Linked DNA regions of Drosophila melanogaster. Changing the gene in region 1 together with any one later gene gives a genetic interaction. Each region holds a gene or a part of one and is shown in the gene's direction. Other genes may lie near its edges.

Region 1 (5,489 bases):
TGTAGTAGGGTCGCAGGTAAACGAAGCATTCGCTGGCGAAAGTTGAGGATCGCGAGGTGGATTTTCATTCATAGCACCCTGGGTGGCATCATAAAAAGTCTCTTAGCATCCTTATTCATTGCACGGATGTGTCTTCATTTTCCCGCTGGCCGATTCGTGGAAATGCGAGCGAAGCTGACTTGCAGCGTTTATGGCACCGATGCCTCCTACTGCTTCCTGCATTTCGGCCAGGATTCAGGACCTTTCTCTACCCAAAGTGACGATCCCATAGCAGAATCGCCTTTTTCCAAGCGTTGATAGCGCGAAATTAGCGTTATATGAGTTGCCTATTCAGCGCTCATTGTCCTGCCAAATTGTGAAATCAACGAGGATCAAATCGAATGGTGGGTATCGATGGTGGATTGAGGCGCCTCTCCATTTGATTCGAGTTACATATGTTTGAGGATAATTTAATTATCACAGAATACTTGCTAGTCTGCCATCGTGGCCATGGGCTCAAGGTCATCGGGGATTTTTGCTATCCTGCCAGGCGCAAATGTAGCGATTCCATACTGGGTGCCTGGTACTGCGAACTCCTCCCGTTGGGTTTGCTTAACCAAACGCCCAACGGGCAGCCGCACCGAGCAGTAGAAACCCAACCTTTGTTGCCTTGCGGCCTCCGTTGTCCTTGATCTGCATCTCATCTGGATCTTGCACTCCGGCACTTGGATACGGATCCTGCCGAGGAGCATGCACATTCGTCACATCTCTGTGGGTCAATTTCCTCGCTGGCGTTTCAAACGGAGGTTGGGGTCCATCATTAATTCTTGCAACACTTGGCGCTCTCTATTGTTCGCGGCTTTCAGGTTTTTGTTGTTATCCCACTCGGCGCTTTCTTTTCTTTTCCATCGGTTTTGTTTAACTTCTTTTCGAGGGTCTCTGTTGCGTGAAATTCTACAATTAATCAAACCCACGACGGCCCATAGAAAAGGGTCGAAACTATGGTTATAAGCCGGAGGCAGCGGAGCATAATGGTGGCAAAAGCATGACAAGGATGTGGATGCGGTCATGGTAAGGATATGGATGAAGTCACTTTGTTAAATGTTAAATTGGAAAGTTGGAAACATAAACTGATCAATAGTCGCTGATTTTGTATTCAACTGAATATGTTTCCCTGCATCCAATATGGTGTTATATATTTAATATCTCACTTATTTTGTTTGAAAATAATTTACTATGATCTATCAATAGATAGTTCTAAACACACACTTTTATATTTATATGTAATATACTGATAATTAAAATAAAACCTACAATTTGAAATGAAGAACTTTGTTCACCGTTTCCGAAAGCAATAAATAACTGAGAGAAAAGAGGCTACTCGAGTGGCAATATAAACGAAAGCCATAATTAGGTATCAATAAAGGATATATTACGCTTGTAAAGAGTGTTAAACGCGTACTCGATTGCATTATGGGTTCCAGTGAATATCTAATTTGATTTCCGGGGCCAAGTGGAACCCCAAAGAATATCTCAAGTGAAGAGTGAAAAGCAAACGCCAGGCAGACTGATCTCTCAAGTCCAGTATTCCCTTATCCTTATAACAAGGTATCCATAAAGGATATGTAACGCTTAAATTGTATCGTGCTACTTACGGCATTAATTAATTTCCGGAAACCAGTGAAAGTCGAAACTATGCATAGGATTTGAATGGATGGAATGCCCAGGATCTGGAGCAGAAGTATTGTGGTTCCCTTGTACTCGTATACCCCCCAATCCAAAGTTCTCTGCTCTTCTCCCATTCCACGGTGCTTTTCACAGCTGAGACGCCCCCTGGCGGCGAGCGAGACGGTTGCTAAATGGGTCGAGTGAGCCAGAGCGAGATGCCGTTGTGGAGAGCGCTGCGATTGGTCCGCGTAGTGGTTACCTGCCAAGTGACTGTGGGATATGGCCGACGTCTGGGCCGTGGCTTCACAGAAAGGCAACGATCTTGGCCGACGTTCGGATGGTGAAGTCAGTCAGGCACAGACTGCGCAACGAGCCACACCGCATCTCGTCCTCGTTCTCGTCTTCGCCTTCGCCTCCGTTTCATCTTTCCCATCGAGATTGCGAACTAACAGATACTTAGATATTCGAAGTGCAACTAATCGGTTAATCAATACCTCGCAACGCTTACTTATGACTTTGACAAAGTGTCCAGACATTGTCCAGAACTAAAGTGATATAATCAAGTGATATACGAACTTCGAGACTGAGTTAACACCGGTTTTGTGCCGGGACAAGCTTACGCATCTTGGAGCTCCTCCAGAAACTATGACCGTAACCGCCTTTGCTGCCGCAATGCACAGACCCTTCTTCAATGGATATTCTACCATGCAAGGTGAGTGTCTATCGCTTATATACAACATCCAGCAAAAGTCACTTTGGAATATAAGTCACTTTCACAATGTACTTACTAAATATCAAAGCCTAGTTGATCATTTCCATATATCTTCATTTCTAAACCGACGGCTCAAGATCCCGCTAAAGATCTCAGTTTGGGCCAAGGCCGTCGGCTACTCTCTAATGGCCATTAGTTGCCCGGCGGGAGAGTCGCGCGCCTCTGACCTTCGACCTTAGCTCCGAGTTTCCCGTCTTCCCGGGAAGTCAACTCCGGTCGAAGGTGTCGTAAATCAAGTGACACGCGCTCCGCTCTACCTAGCTAGTATTGGAAAAGCCTCTAAAATTTCCATTTTCTCATCTTCCTCATTCCAGACATGAACAGCGGCCAGGGGCGCGTCAATCAACTAGGTGGAGTTTTCATCAACGGTCGTCCTTTGCCCAACAATATTCGTCTTAAAATCGTCGAGATGGCCGCCGATGGCATTCGGCCCTGTGTGATCTCCAGACAGCTACGTGTGTCCCATGGCTGCGTATCGAAGATCCTGAATCGCTACCAGGAGACTGGCTCCATTAGACCAGGCGTAATTGGTGGCTCCAAGCCGAGGATAGCCACGCCCGAAATCGAGAACCGAATTGAGGAGTACAAGCGCAGTAGCCCGGGCATGTTCTCGTGGGAGATCAGGGAGAAGCTGATCCGCGAGGGTGTCTGCGACAGGAGCACAGCACCATCTGTGTCCGCCATATCGCGCCTGGTGCGCGGCCGAGATGCTCCATTGGACAATGATATGTCTTCTGCCTCTGGATCTCCGGCGGGTGATGGCACCAAAGCATCGAGTTCCTGCGGCTCCGATGTCTCAGGTGGCCATCACAACAACGGCAAGCCCTCCGATGAGGACATCTCTGACTGTGAAAGTGAGCCGGGAATCGCCTTGAAGCGCAAACAGCGCCGCTGCAGGACCACCTTTTCCGCTTCCCAGTTGGACGAACTGGAACGCGCCTTCGAGCGCACCCAATACCCTGATATCTACACCCGTGAGGAGCTGGCCCAGCGCACCAATCTCACGGAGGCACGCATTCAGGTGTGGTTCAGCAATCGGCGTGCTCGTCTCCGCAAGCAGCACACCTCGGTCTCGGGCGGAGCACCTGGCGGAGCAGCTGCCTCAGTGAGCCATGTCGCCGCGTCCAGCTCTTTGCCCAGTGTGGTATCAAGTGTGCCCAGCATGGCTCCGCTGGCCATGATGCCGGGATCCCTGGATCCAGCCACTGTGTACCAGCAGCAATACGATTTCTACGGCAGTCACGCCAACATTTCCGTATCCGCCGCAGCTCCAATGGCCAGTAGTAATCTATCGCCCGGAATTACAACCACGCCACCGCACCACCATCAGTTCTACAATCCCAGCGCTAACACAGCCAGCTACATAATGCCGGGTGAGAATGGCAACACCACACCCACCGGGAACATCATCGTCTCCAGCTATGAGACTCAGTTGGGTTCAGTTTACGGCACCGAAACGGAAACCCACCAGACTATGCCACGCAACGAGAGCCCCAACGAGTCCGTGTCCTCCGCCTTCGGGCAACTGCCACCCACACCCAACAGCCTTTCCGCGGTGGTGAGTGGAGCTGGTGTGACCTCCTCCAGTGGGGCCAACTCGGGAGCCGATCCCTCGCAGTCGCTGGCCAATGCCAGTGCTGGAAGTGAGGAGCTATCGGCTGCCCTGAAAGTGGAATCGGTGGACCTGATCGCGGCCAGTCAGTCGCAGTTGTACGGCGGATGGAGCTCCATGCAGGCACTGCGCCCCAATGCGCCACTTTCGCCGGAGGACTCGCTGAACTCCACCAGCTCGACCAGCCAGGCTCTGGATGTCACCGCCCACCAGATGTTCCATCCGTATCAGCATACGCCGCAGTATGCATCCTATCCGGCACCAGGCCACGCCCATTCGCATCACGGACATCCCCATGCGCCGCATCCGCACGCACATCCGCATCCGCAGTACGCAGGCGCACATCCGCACTATCCGCCGCCCAGTTCGTCGGCGCACTTCATGCCCCAGAACTTCAATGCCGCCGCCTTTCCTTCGCCCTCGAAGGTCAACTACACAACGATGCCGCCACAGCCGTTCTATCCCTCATGGTACTAGAATCAAAGGGACACGGATCCACCACCTACTCCTCCAGGAGCAGGAGCAGGTGTCACCAGATCCATGGTACAAGTCGCCAAAGATGTACATACCCATAGAGCAGGGGACGAAAATATAAATAACATTTTATTTGTGGTGGAGCAGTACAGACATTTTCCGTTTGGGAAAACCGCTGACAGACTCGCTCCTAAACAATAAACATATGTATTAGTTCCAATTCGTAGATGTAAGCCTAGAAAATAGTACCGACTTAGGATTAGAGTTTAAGATGATTAGCCTAAGTAGCAAGTGCTCTTAAATAAAAAAATATATCTATGCTAATTTACAACGTACTCCAATGATCTTTCACTCGAAACGCTGGCCATTCAGCAGCCTTGACACGCTTCCGTACGCAGCGGGAAATGGGAAATCCTCTGGGCCATTAGAGCCTTTTAGTAGCTGCGCATTCCACGGACCTGGCTGGAGATCTCAACACTCGCCCCGGGTGAGATACCGATTCCGATTGCTGCTCTCGGAACTTCAGATCCAGCTGTGAGCGGGTCGCATAGTTTCCGGAAAAAAAGAAGAGAAAACTCCCGAAATGCAAGATGATGATTTGGAACGTCCAAAATAGCGAAGACAACTCCAACCAAGGTGTTAATTGCCCCCTCGATTCCATCGAATAGAGAGTGTTGGTCCCTATGGGACTACGAAGTAAATGGAGTAATTGCCCTCGTTCGGACTTACCTCAAATTCACACCTCATCCTCGGGGATCTGCCTACCCAACCATATTCTACGTGTCCGAGCGATGGCAATTAATGAAGTCATTATCCTTGAATCCTCACCTCCAGACAGCTCAGACAGCCTAACGCACACTGGCTCTATTATTTTAATCTAGAAAAAACTCCTAATCGCTATTTGCTCTATCGCTCTGGCCATCGAGGTGAAAAGTAAATATTGACTTTACAATCGACTTAGGAATCGGAATTGGCAAATGGCTT
Region 2 (5,043 bases), 3.7 Mb from region 1:
ACGTTGCACATCTTTTATTATTTTAAATACCCGATTTCCAGATATGATCAGCCCGGAAAAATAGTGAACTAAATATGCAGAGCAGTAAAAGTCAGGCTAACATAGAAGTTATTTTTCAAAATTTGAATAACGCGCCAATAAAAATCCCGCAACGCGATCGGCCGTAGTGGCAACGCCGCTGCCACTAAACTCCGACTCTCTCTTTGCGCCGTGTGGCCAGATGATTATGGCCTTTTTTTTTGCTCTTTCATCGCTCTCTCGATTTCGATCTCGTCACAGTGCCACTTGCGATCATTGTGTTACTTTGGAGTCGCTGAAAAATCGCGGGGATCGCATCGAATTGGCCTTGACTGCCGTGGGGTTGAGCTAGCCGTGAAAAAGACCGCAGAACCACGATAAATCTGTCGAAAAAGGTGACAAAAAGGAGGCTATACTGTCTTGCTGGCTGGCGTGCGTGTGTATGTGTGCGGCGGTGTGTGCAATTTTTTTCATCACCATTCCAGTCCGCGTGTGTTTTTCAGTGTGCAATCCCGCTGAGAATTTGCCCGAATCCTGCCCAACAGCAGGTGAGTGATGCCGGCCAATTGGCCCATTCGATTTGCAGCAGGTGCAGGGTTCAAAAGTTCGTGAACTTGCTTTTTAAGCCATTTCCTTTAGACCCCGTTTTCTCCATCGATATTGTAGCAGTCGAAAAGTAATGGAAAAAAAACGTGAGCAGCGACGTCGACGTTTTTGCCTCTTTCTCTCTCTGTTCCCCTGCCCCTCTCGCGCTCTCTTCCGCGCCTTCTCTTTGCGCGCGCAGCTGTCATCGCTGTCAGCAGCGCGCGCCGACGTCGGGTTCCCGCGCGCGGGAAATCATCAAGTTCAATCGATTCTAATTTGGCCGAATTGAACGGGATTTTCGATTTTAGTGAAAAATCAGATTCTGCGAGTTTTGATCTTTCAATTGGTTATAGGCACGCATGGTTTTTCATTTAGCTTACCTGATTTATAAGCGCTCGAAGTTGGTGCCAAAAATGCTCGAATGTTAATCGATGAAAACAACAAAGTGGCAGTGGTTTGTTTGGTTTCAAAGCAGCGTTACCACCTAGTTCGACCTCAGTCATCTTGTCATATGTTATTTGGCTGCAGTTCATAAAAACTACTAGAAAAGCATATTAAACCATGTAATTTCAGGCTTCTGAAGAATAAATAAATAATTAAAATTTTAAAGATTTATGAATACCCTTCAAGATAAATTTATTTTAACCTTGAATTGATTTTGGAGCGCTTTAAAAATATATTAAAAAAAATAGTTTCATATTAAAATTTAAATATTTATTTTCTGAAGGTCATATTTGAATTAAAATTGGCATATGACATAGAAATAAATCTTAGGTATTTATATATAACCACGATATATCCGACTAAATCCGCCCTTCTGGCATCCTCGTCAGCTGTTTTTCGACCACCCAGCTGACTGGACGTCGAACCTCCAATTGTAGTCTGACTAGCCTGTTGGGGACTGGGGACTCCAATTGCAGACTCCATTCAATAAAATGCCAAGCTTGCCACCAGCGGCTTCATCGCCCCGTCTCGCTTTCTCACGCTCTGTTCTTTGCGCTGGAGATGCTCGCCCCATCTCCGTCCCTCCCCTAGAGTACAACAAAGTTGCCCCCTGTGTTTGTTGCATTTTTTGGCGCTTCGGATCCGCCTGTTTTGGCGCGTTCCTCATGCACACTCGCCGCAGTCGACGTCGCTGCTTTTGATACCCAGTTCCACCAATTTTTTTTTCGGTTCCAAAGCGATCACTTTGCTGCCGCCGCTCCGCTGCTCGTGAAGTTTTTTCGTGGCCGGCGACGACGACGACGAAAAACTCTCGAAAAACGTTGTTCAATTCCCTTTAAGAAAAACAAGTGAAAACACCGGGGATATTATGTTAAGCATTTTTCCGCTTACTAGAAGGTAAAACCAATTGCACAATGGTTTTAGTGGATAAAAGGCAATACGTTATTCAGAGTGGAATAAAATTTATGACGCGTGTGCGGTGACAAGTGTGTGTGGAACAGTGAAGGAAAGAGCGGGAGAGAATGCTGCGTTTGCCGTCGTGTCTTTGCATTTTTTGCTACAAATACAACATCCTCTTATAAGAAAATTGACACGCTGTAGGATTTAACCGTTGCTTTCTGATTGGCAAGAGACGGGGTGTCCAACTACAAATTGTCTCCCCCACACAGTGTTTTAGTGTTCCCCCTATAAGGAAAAGTGTCCTATTAGAATTAAACCGTTATCCAATGGGAACAAATTGGAAAATCCTATGAAATAAATGAAAGCTTCTAATCACGTCTAAAAGTGCACTGAGTTTCTAATGCGTAACGGGAGTTCAGTGAACTATTACAGCTTTTCTTACTATAGAAGGCTTGAGATGCAGCTTATGGTTTACCCTGCTGTTTGGGCCAACTTTCTAATCTTTCTCCCGCCCGAATTGCACTTTTTCCCGCCATTCGCATAGATTTTGGGCGGTAAAACAAAACTGCCCCAGCCCAAACGCCTAATTCGCGCCACTTTGCGTTTCTCCATTCTTTTCCCATGCTCATTTCATTTTTATACGCTTCCTCCAATGACACACACACAAGCACAAACTTGGAAGAAATGCGCTCGCTAAGAGAGAGAGTAAGCTCTCTTTCTCTCGCTCTCTTCCGTTTTATTCCAATCAGAACAGCGAGTCAAGTTATTTTCCCCTTCCCAACACCAACAACAAACAAAAACGTTTTAGTACTGCGCTCTAAAACGGAAAAAAAGAGAGCATTTGACTGCGACGTCGAAAAAATTCGGAAAATCGCCGATCAGTCGACGGACCTTTCGAAAACTTGACGAACACGAAGCAGAGGTTCAAAGCAAAATGGAGTAAACGAGTGAAGAACAAAATAATGAATTATGTCAAAAGTGGCGCAAATATCTTTGGTACACGAAGAAAAAGATTGGTAGTGGCATTTAGCCCTTACCCACAATCTACGTACATACATATGTATGTATGTTTACATATGTAGAATTAATAATAGTATTTTAATTATTGTAAAATCGTGGTTATATTTATTTTTGTGAGTAGTTACTCTATGTACGTGCTCCCAACCAATGAGTGAGCGAGATAGACTGCCAAGTGGAGAATGGAGTTCATTGATATTTCTCGGCGTTTTGCTTTCGCTTCCCCTTCGTCTCCACCTTGCTTCGCGCCATCTTCGTTCTTTCCTCTTCTCCTCTGCTTCCATTTACCTGCCACATTCATTTTGTTGTTGTTTTCTTCGCAATTTTTGCTTTCTTCTTTATTTTTTGCATTCTTTTGACGTTTTTTAGTTTGCGTGTTCGCTTTTTGCGCCGTTAAACTTTTGGAGCGATCGCGGCGGGGGTGTGCGTGGGGGGTGGGTGGTGTATTGTTGATGGGGTGGATTTTTGTATACTTAATTTTTCGATTATGTCATGATCGTGCCGAAAATCAGCCGCTTATGTTTAGATTTGGCCAGTTTAAACCATGGGGAAATAAATTGTTTTTCTTAGAAGTGATTTTGAAAAAAGTAAGAGCATCAAGTTTTTGATGATTCAGTGTCGTGAATTTTGTATATTTTCCCAACATTTTCTTTTGTTTGACCCACCTAAACACTCCTTATATGATCTATTCAAATCCTAGTCAACACCTTTCAATTCTGCTCATGATCCTCCAAGTGCTTGCCACCTTCGAAAGCGGTATGTCATCAAAGGATTTTCTAGACGAGATGGGAACCCAAACTGATCTCGAATATTTTCTCATCATATGTACATACATACGTAAATGGTTATAGGAATCCACACATATCAACTGGCCATATTAACCCGAATTCCTAGTAAAATACCAACAATATTTCTCAATTACAAGTGCGGAATGTTTTACAAATATTACATGTTCTCCAAAAGGATGAGTTGTGAATAGTAACTCCTTAAATAAATGGTTCATATGTACATATGTATGTATATGTGGGCATTTTTTTTTTATAGTCCATACACATTTTTGTCGCTGCGGCAGAAGAATCCGATTCGGAATCGGAATGAGGTGAAGCCGTATGTATGAGGAGCAGAAACAACAATGATAAACAGTTTCCAGTTATTCCCAGACAAACAAAGGATAGTCCGTCCGACTGGCGATTTGTGGAGCGGGGAAGAGACAGGACGCAGGCCACTTGAGCTAGCTGACTCGCTGTGGGCATCCTTTTAGACGCTGCTAAATATAAACTAAATAGTCAATTGAGCGCGTCCCGATGTCCTAACGGCTACTTCAAGGCCATCGATTCTTGGAACTGGAACGCCGCCGTCGCCATCGCCGCCGCTGCCGCTCCATTCAAGAACTTTGATTTGTTCTCCTCCATCGGCTGGGCCGACTTTACTTTCACACGCCGTTTTGCCCAGGCGGCGCTCTTTAGATACCCGGCACACAGATACTCAGATACTCGGACTCACAGATACACTGATGCGCGCAGGCGAGGATCGACTTTCCTGTTCTCGTTTGCAGTACCCTGTAGTTCTGGGTAGGGTGGGCATATGCGACTGAAGCAACACAGCAAACTTGGGCCAATTGACCATTAGAATTTAAACGCATTCATGAGTATGAAAAGGAAGCATCAAAGATCGGGTTCAATTCAATGATGCTTATAAAGCAATCTTCGTGTATTGGTTTAAACTTTTAGTAGTATTATTTATAGTTTCATATTATGCAAATATGATTAGGCTTTCGATTTGAGAAAATATCTTCCTAATGAACTTCACCCTCTTACCCTATCAGCATTATGTAGCTATGTTGTTACACAACTCCTGCAGACTTTCGGTCCACCGAGTTCCAACTAATTGCAAGAGTGGTGGCCAAACCACAACAATGGAGAGGAGGCGGCATTGGCATGGACAACGCCACAAATGCCCAGATGCATGTGCATTTTTATCTCGAGTATCTCAGGAATGTATCTCGCCGCATGTGCAGAGGAGCCCAAAATGCAGCCCAAAAAGGACGCACAAAAATTGCAGGCCCAGACAGTTGAAGAC
Region 3 (5,241 bases), on another chromosome or scaffold:
TTGAAAGCTTGCAAATTCTTGACAAACTAGATATGGAAACTCGGCAGCCACTTGCTGCCGTTATTTACGCAGTTGTTTTATCTCGCCATGCACACTTTCCATTTACCCGCGAAACAAAAAAAAAGTGCAGAAAATAGTTTAATACTATTACAAAAACAAGCAGCACACGCAAACATAAATTGCGCAAACATCGAAACACAAGAAATATTACTTATTGAAATCGAGAACTTGGACGGACAAAAGCTCGCAAATTGCGGGACCATTTCTTTTTGTCTGTGACGCAGTTGTACCCTGTAAAAGTGGAGCATATCGCTTTTTGCCAACGAATGGCTGTTTGTATGCTTATGGATACTAAAGCGGAATGTTGGAAGGTGAATTTTATTGGGCTGTTTGTGATTTCCATTGACAGAAGAATTAAACAATTTTTTTTTTTTTTTAATATGTCGCTTGTACAAACAATTAATTAAATGTGCAAATTGCAGAGTAGTTGGGCGAGTGTGCAGCGTGCATTTTTTTTTTGCTGGTTCGCCTCGTTGCGAAATCAAAACAAAGCGTGTGAAAGAGAGGGCAGATGCACGCGCCAAAAGCGCTATGTTGTGCACTAAAAGTTGTGGAAATGAAAATCAAAGCGAAACGTAACAAAATCGACGGGGTGTAGAAAGCGGGAGGAACTTTGCGTCGGAACCACCTGATGATTTAATACTCTCTAAAAGGGGCAAAATTCAAAATGCAGGTCCTTTCAAGTCGATTTTTAAAGGTTGATATATGTGTACATATGTACATATTTGTGCGATAAACATATGTACACATGCACAAATCATTATTTGTATGTAGTACACATACTATGTACATTGTATTTTACAAACAGTTATTAAGAAGTTTGTTGGAATGTGCATACATACATATGTATGTATGTATGTAGAGACGTATGCTTGTGCATGTTATATTCTATTTTTCATTCAAGGTCCCCTTGCTTCCTATCCGCCTTTACCTTATTACCCTTTTCTACTTCTTCCACAACTTCTTCTTTCCAAAGTTGTAATATTTTTGGCTGGTTTCTATTCTTTTCCCTTTCTTTTTACATTTCCTTGGCATCGTTTAATTCGTTAACAAAATGTTTGGCTCTTCTTTTGTTTCTACCATGCGGCCTAACTTTTCTATTATTGTTAAATGAATTCTGCATTGTTTACAAAGTTCACAAGTTCAATCAACTTGACAAAACGGAAAATGAAGTTGCGTGGCAGACAAAGAGGTGACAAAGGCACACACGCACATAAAAAAAAGTACGGTAAATGCATGCATAGATAAAGGAAAGGGCAAGAAGGAAATACGAAAGAAATGTAAGGCGCCAAAGCAAGAGGGAATGAACAACTTCTCGCAACTTCTACGCAAAAAGGAATAGAGCTTAAAATAAATCGATTTAAAAATAGGAAACATTTATGCGGCAATGAAGAATCCCAAATAATGCCACAGAAAAGCAATTGAAACCTGTAGTTTTATGTCGATTAACATTAACATAAATAAATGCGTATATTTATAAATTTAATTTCTATATTTTAATATACATACCGTAAGTAAATTAAGGAAATGAATAAAATTTTGTTTTGATTTCCAGTCAACTACACATTTTCGTATTGCATTTATTTCACAAAAACATTTTGAGCCAGTTCAAGTTAATTGTTTATGTTTTTATTTACGGAGCAATTTGCGATTTGTCTCAATTTTGTTTGCGCTCAATTATTGTAAACACCACTCAAAAATCTCACTCTCTTTCACTCAAAAAAAAAATACCGGCAAACTGATGCTGTTATGTGAACCAGTGTGCGGGAGAGGCAAAGAAACATTGATCATTTTAAATGCATTGCGTACTATTTGAAAACCTTCGAGTATTAACAAATCGTGATGAATCCAAATGTGATCTAAATGTGATCCAAATGTCAAAGAAGATTTTTGTTGAAGCTCCTATTCTCACCACTTAAAGCGAATTCCAGCAAAGAGAGCAGCAGTGAGCATGCGCAGTGAGAGCGCAGAGAGCGCGGCAGTCTGGTACGATAGAAATTTTATTTAAGCCACAGACAACATGAAACGGGCACTATTTCTGTGGCGTCGCGTGTTCAGTTCACCGCGGGTAATTCAGAGAATCGCTTTGTGGATTGGATTTTTGCCTGTTTTCCGCCCGATACAAAAAAAAAAAACCAAACGCTATATAAATAGTTCTGTAGTAAAACCTGAAGCAACACGTTTTAAAATATACAACTACTACTAACAACTGTCACAGCCAAGTTACAAAAGTGCTAAATCCCAGAAATAACCTAAGAGCCGACTTAAAACCGCGCAAATACATAAAAAAAAATCTTCTCCAAAGCAGAAACAAAAACTTGTGAAAAACTAGAATTAAAAAAAGATTTTTTAAAAAAAATCAGCTAGTGCAAAATAAACGGGAAGAATTTTTTTTTGTGTCCCTTTTTTTGGTGTTTTTTCTCCGTCTTTCCCCTTCTTTGACGCAAAAAAAAAAGTGCCCAACTTGCTGGCGGCACGGGAACGGGATAGAAATAGATATAGCCGAAAGCGACTGGAAAGCAAAGGAAGCTAACTAAATTGGATTACAATCAATTAAATAGAGACGGATACGGAAACTATGTTCAGCGAGGTGAGTGCAAAGATATATATATATAATATATATTATTTATCGGAACGCAACGACTTCAAAAATCGCGCCACTACGGGGAATTCAAAATAGAATTTCTGGGAAAGGTGAAATAGCTTAACTTTTAACGGTGCTCTCACACACAATGACAAATCAGTGATCATGGCCGCACAAATCGATACGAAATAACGGATTCTAGGAACTCAGAAGGAATGTTAAGAATCAAGTGCTTACAAGAAATTAAGAACAAAAAGTGAGACAATAGAAAAGTGGAAGTGGACGAATTTTGCAAAACAAAATTCTACAAAGTTCTTTATTGTTTTGTGAAATTCTTCTTAATGCTGGCAAGTATTAAAAACGCTTTGATGGCGTTGAAACGAGTTGGTAATGTTCGAAAATTCCAGAACTCTGGGGCTCCAAAGTAATTAAATAAAATGGTCCCAAAATTTTTACGAAAGTATTAAACTTTTTAAAGGAGAAATAAATCAATTAATTAAAAAAAGAAATAAATTAGCTTGATAAATTAAAAAAGAAATAAATTAGCTTGATAAATTAAAAAAGAAATAAATTAGCTTAATAAATTTAAAAAGATTTAAATAATAATTTAATAAATGTTGATATTCCAATTTTACTATGATTCTGAAATTCAATATATACCGGGTTGCGTTCGATTCTGCGAAAGACATGTACTGTTAGTTTTTGCTCGTACTTGTTTACCGGAATGCAACGGATTCTACGAAAAGGGAAAAGCACAGTAAGCTTTGCAGGTCTGCGTTTATCGGTAAAAGGACCGTTTATTTTTCAGTAACTGGAATTGGGTATTTGATATTTGGTTTTCCTTTTATGCCCTTGTTTATTTCATTAGTATATGTATTTTTTTTTTTTTTTTGCTATTGTCAAGAGCGCCAAGATTGACGATTTCGGGTTCAAATGGTTAATAGTGTATAAATGAAGCTATAAGCTAAATTTGCTTTTGATAACATTTGCTGAACCCTCGACATCGCCTGACGTCATTATAGGTGAAATCTGGCACAGTAGAACGTGACTTAATACAATAATAATATTAGGAGTTTAGTTACTCTTACATTATAGTTGAAATGTTGCAAAAATCCTTATGTTGAAGAAGTTTTCAAAAAGTGTGTTGCCGACATATTTATTTAATTAAGTTCAAATATAGAATCATACCTACAACGATTTCCGCCTTATCTATATTTTTCAGACAGGCATATAACTCAGGAACTTAAGATATATAGAAAGAAAAAAAAACCCAGACAACATAATCGCAATGGCCCTTTACCGCTCTGATCCGTATTCCATAATGGACGACCAACTTTTTTCAAATATTTCAATATTCGATATGGATAATGATCTGTACGATATGGACAAACTCCTTTCGTCGTCCACCATTCAGAGTGATCTCGAGAAGATCGAGGACATGGAAAGTGTATTTCAAGACTATGACTTAGAGGAGGATATGAAGCCAGAGATCCGCAACATCGACTGCATGTGGCCGGCGATGTCCAGCTGTTTGACCAGCGGTAACGGTAATGGAATAGAGAGCGGAAACAGTGCAGCCTCGTCGTACAGCGAAACCGGTGCCGTATCCCTGGCGATGGTTTCCGGCTCTACGAATCTCTACAGCGCGTATCAACGATCGCAGACGACAGATAACACCCAGTCAAATCAACAGCATGTCGTCAACAGTGCCGAGAACATGCCGGTGATCATCAAGAAGGAGCTCGCAGATCTGGACTACACGGTCTGTCAGAAGCGCCTCCGTTTGAGCGGCGGTGACAAGAAGTCACAGATCCAGGACGAGGTCCATTTAATACCGCCCGGCGGAAGTTTGCTCCGCAAGCGGAACAACCAGGACATTATCCGCAAATCGGGCGAATTGAGCGGCAGCGATAGCATAAAATACCAGAGACCAGACACACCTCACAGTCTTACCGACGAGGTGGCCGCCTCAGAGTTTAGACATAACGTCGACTTGCGTGCCTGCGTGATGGGCAGCAATAATATCTCGCTGACCGGCAATGATAGCGATGTCAACTACATTAAGCAAATCAGCAGGGAGCTTCAGAATACCGGCAAGGATCCGTTGCCGGTGCGTTACATCCCGCCGATCAACGATGTCCTCGATGTGCTCAACCAGCATTCCAATTCGACGGGTGGCCAACAGCAGTTGAACCAACAGCAACTGGACGAGCAACAACAGGCCATCGATATAGCCACTGGACGCAACACAGTGGATTCTCCGCCGACGACCGGCTCTGATAGTGACTCCGATGACGGTGAACCCCTCAACTTTGACCTGCGCCATCATCGCACTAGCAAAAGCGGCAGCAATGCCAGCATCACCACCAACAACAACAACAGCAACAACAAAAACAACAAATTGAAGAACAACAGCAACGGCATGCTGCACATGATGCACATCACCGATCACAGCTACACGCGCTGCAACGATATGGTGGACGATGGTCCCAATTTGGAGACCCCCTCAGATTCCGGTGAGTCAAATTTATATACTTTTCATATGCCCCATTTTCATCAATATTGGAAGCTTAAAGTCCGAATGTCTTACAAGAAAT

The links.
Region 2: of prd (region 1) and CycE, changing one suppresses a phenotype caused by changing the other (phenotypic suppression), as found in Drosophila melanogaster (2 studies listed by BioGRID).
Region 3: of prd (region 1) and Myc, changing one suppresses a phenotype caused by changing the other (phenotypic suppression), as found in Drosophila melanogaster (2 studies listed by BioGRID).

The regions. Positions count from the first base shown.
Region 1 is NT_033779.5:12,082,333-12,087,821, reverse strand, and holds prd (paired), read left to right. Parts: upstream 1-1,994; 5' UTR 1,995-2,292; coding exon 2,293-2,359; intron 2,360-2,443; exon of another isoform or gene 2,444-2,679; intron 2,680-2,733; coding exon 2,734-4,508; 3' UTR 4,509-4,827; downstream 4,828-5,489. UniProt on the Drosophila melanogaster protein: Pair-rule protein expressed in a segmentally repeating pattern to define the polarity of embryonic segments. Capable of sequence-specific DNA-binding.
Region 2 is NT_033779.5:15,743,356-15,748,398, reverse strand, and holds the start of CycE (cyclin E), read left to right. Parts: upstream 1-1,788; 5' UTR 1,789-1,915; coding exon 1,916-1,944; exon of another isoform or gene 1,945-2,142; intron 2,143-2,755; exon of another isoform or gene 2,756-3,007; intron 3,008-5,043. UniProt on the Drosophila melanogaster protein: Essential for the control of the cell cycle at the G1/S (start) transition. Targeted by archipelago for degradation by the SFC ubiquitin ligase complex.
Region 3 is NC_004354.4:3,371,074-3,376,314, forward strand, and holds the start of Myc (Myc), read left to right. Parts: upstream 1-2,085; 5' UTR 2,086-2,650; intron 2,651-3,866; exon of another isoform or gene 3,867-3,870; 5' UTR 3,871-3,932; coding exon 3,933-5,160; intron 5,161-5,241. UniProt on the Drosophila melanogaster protein: Participates in the regulation of gene transcription. Binds DNA in a non-specific manner, yet also specifically recognizes the core sequence CAC[GA]TG. Seems to activate the transcription of growth-related genes; required for cellular proliferation and growth.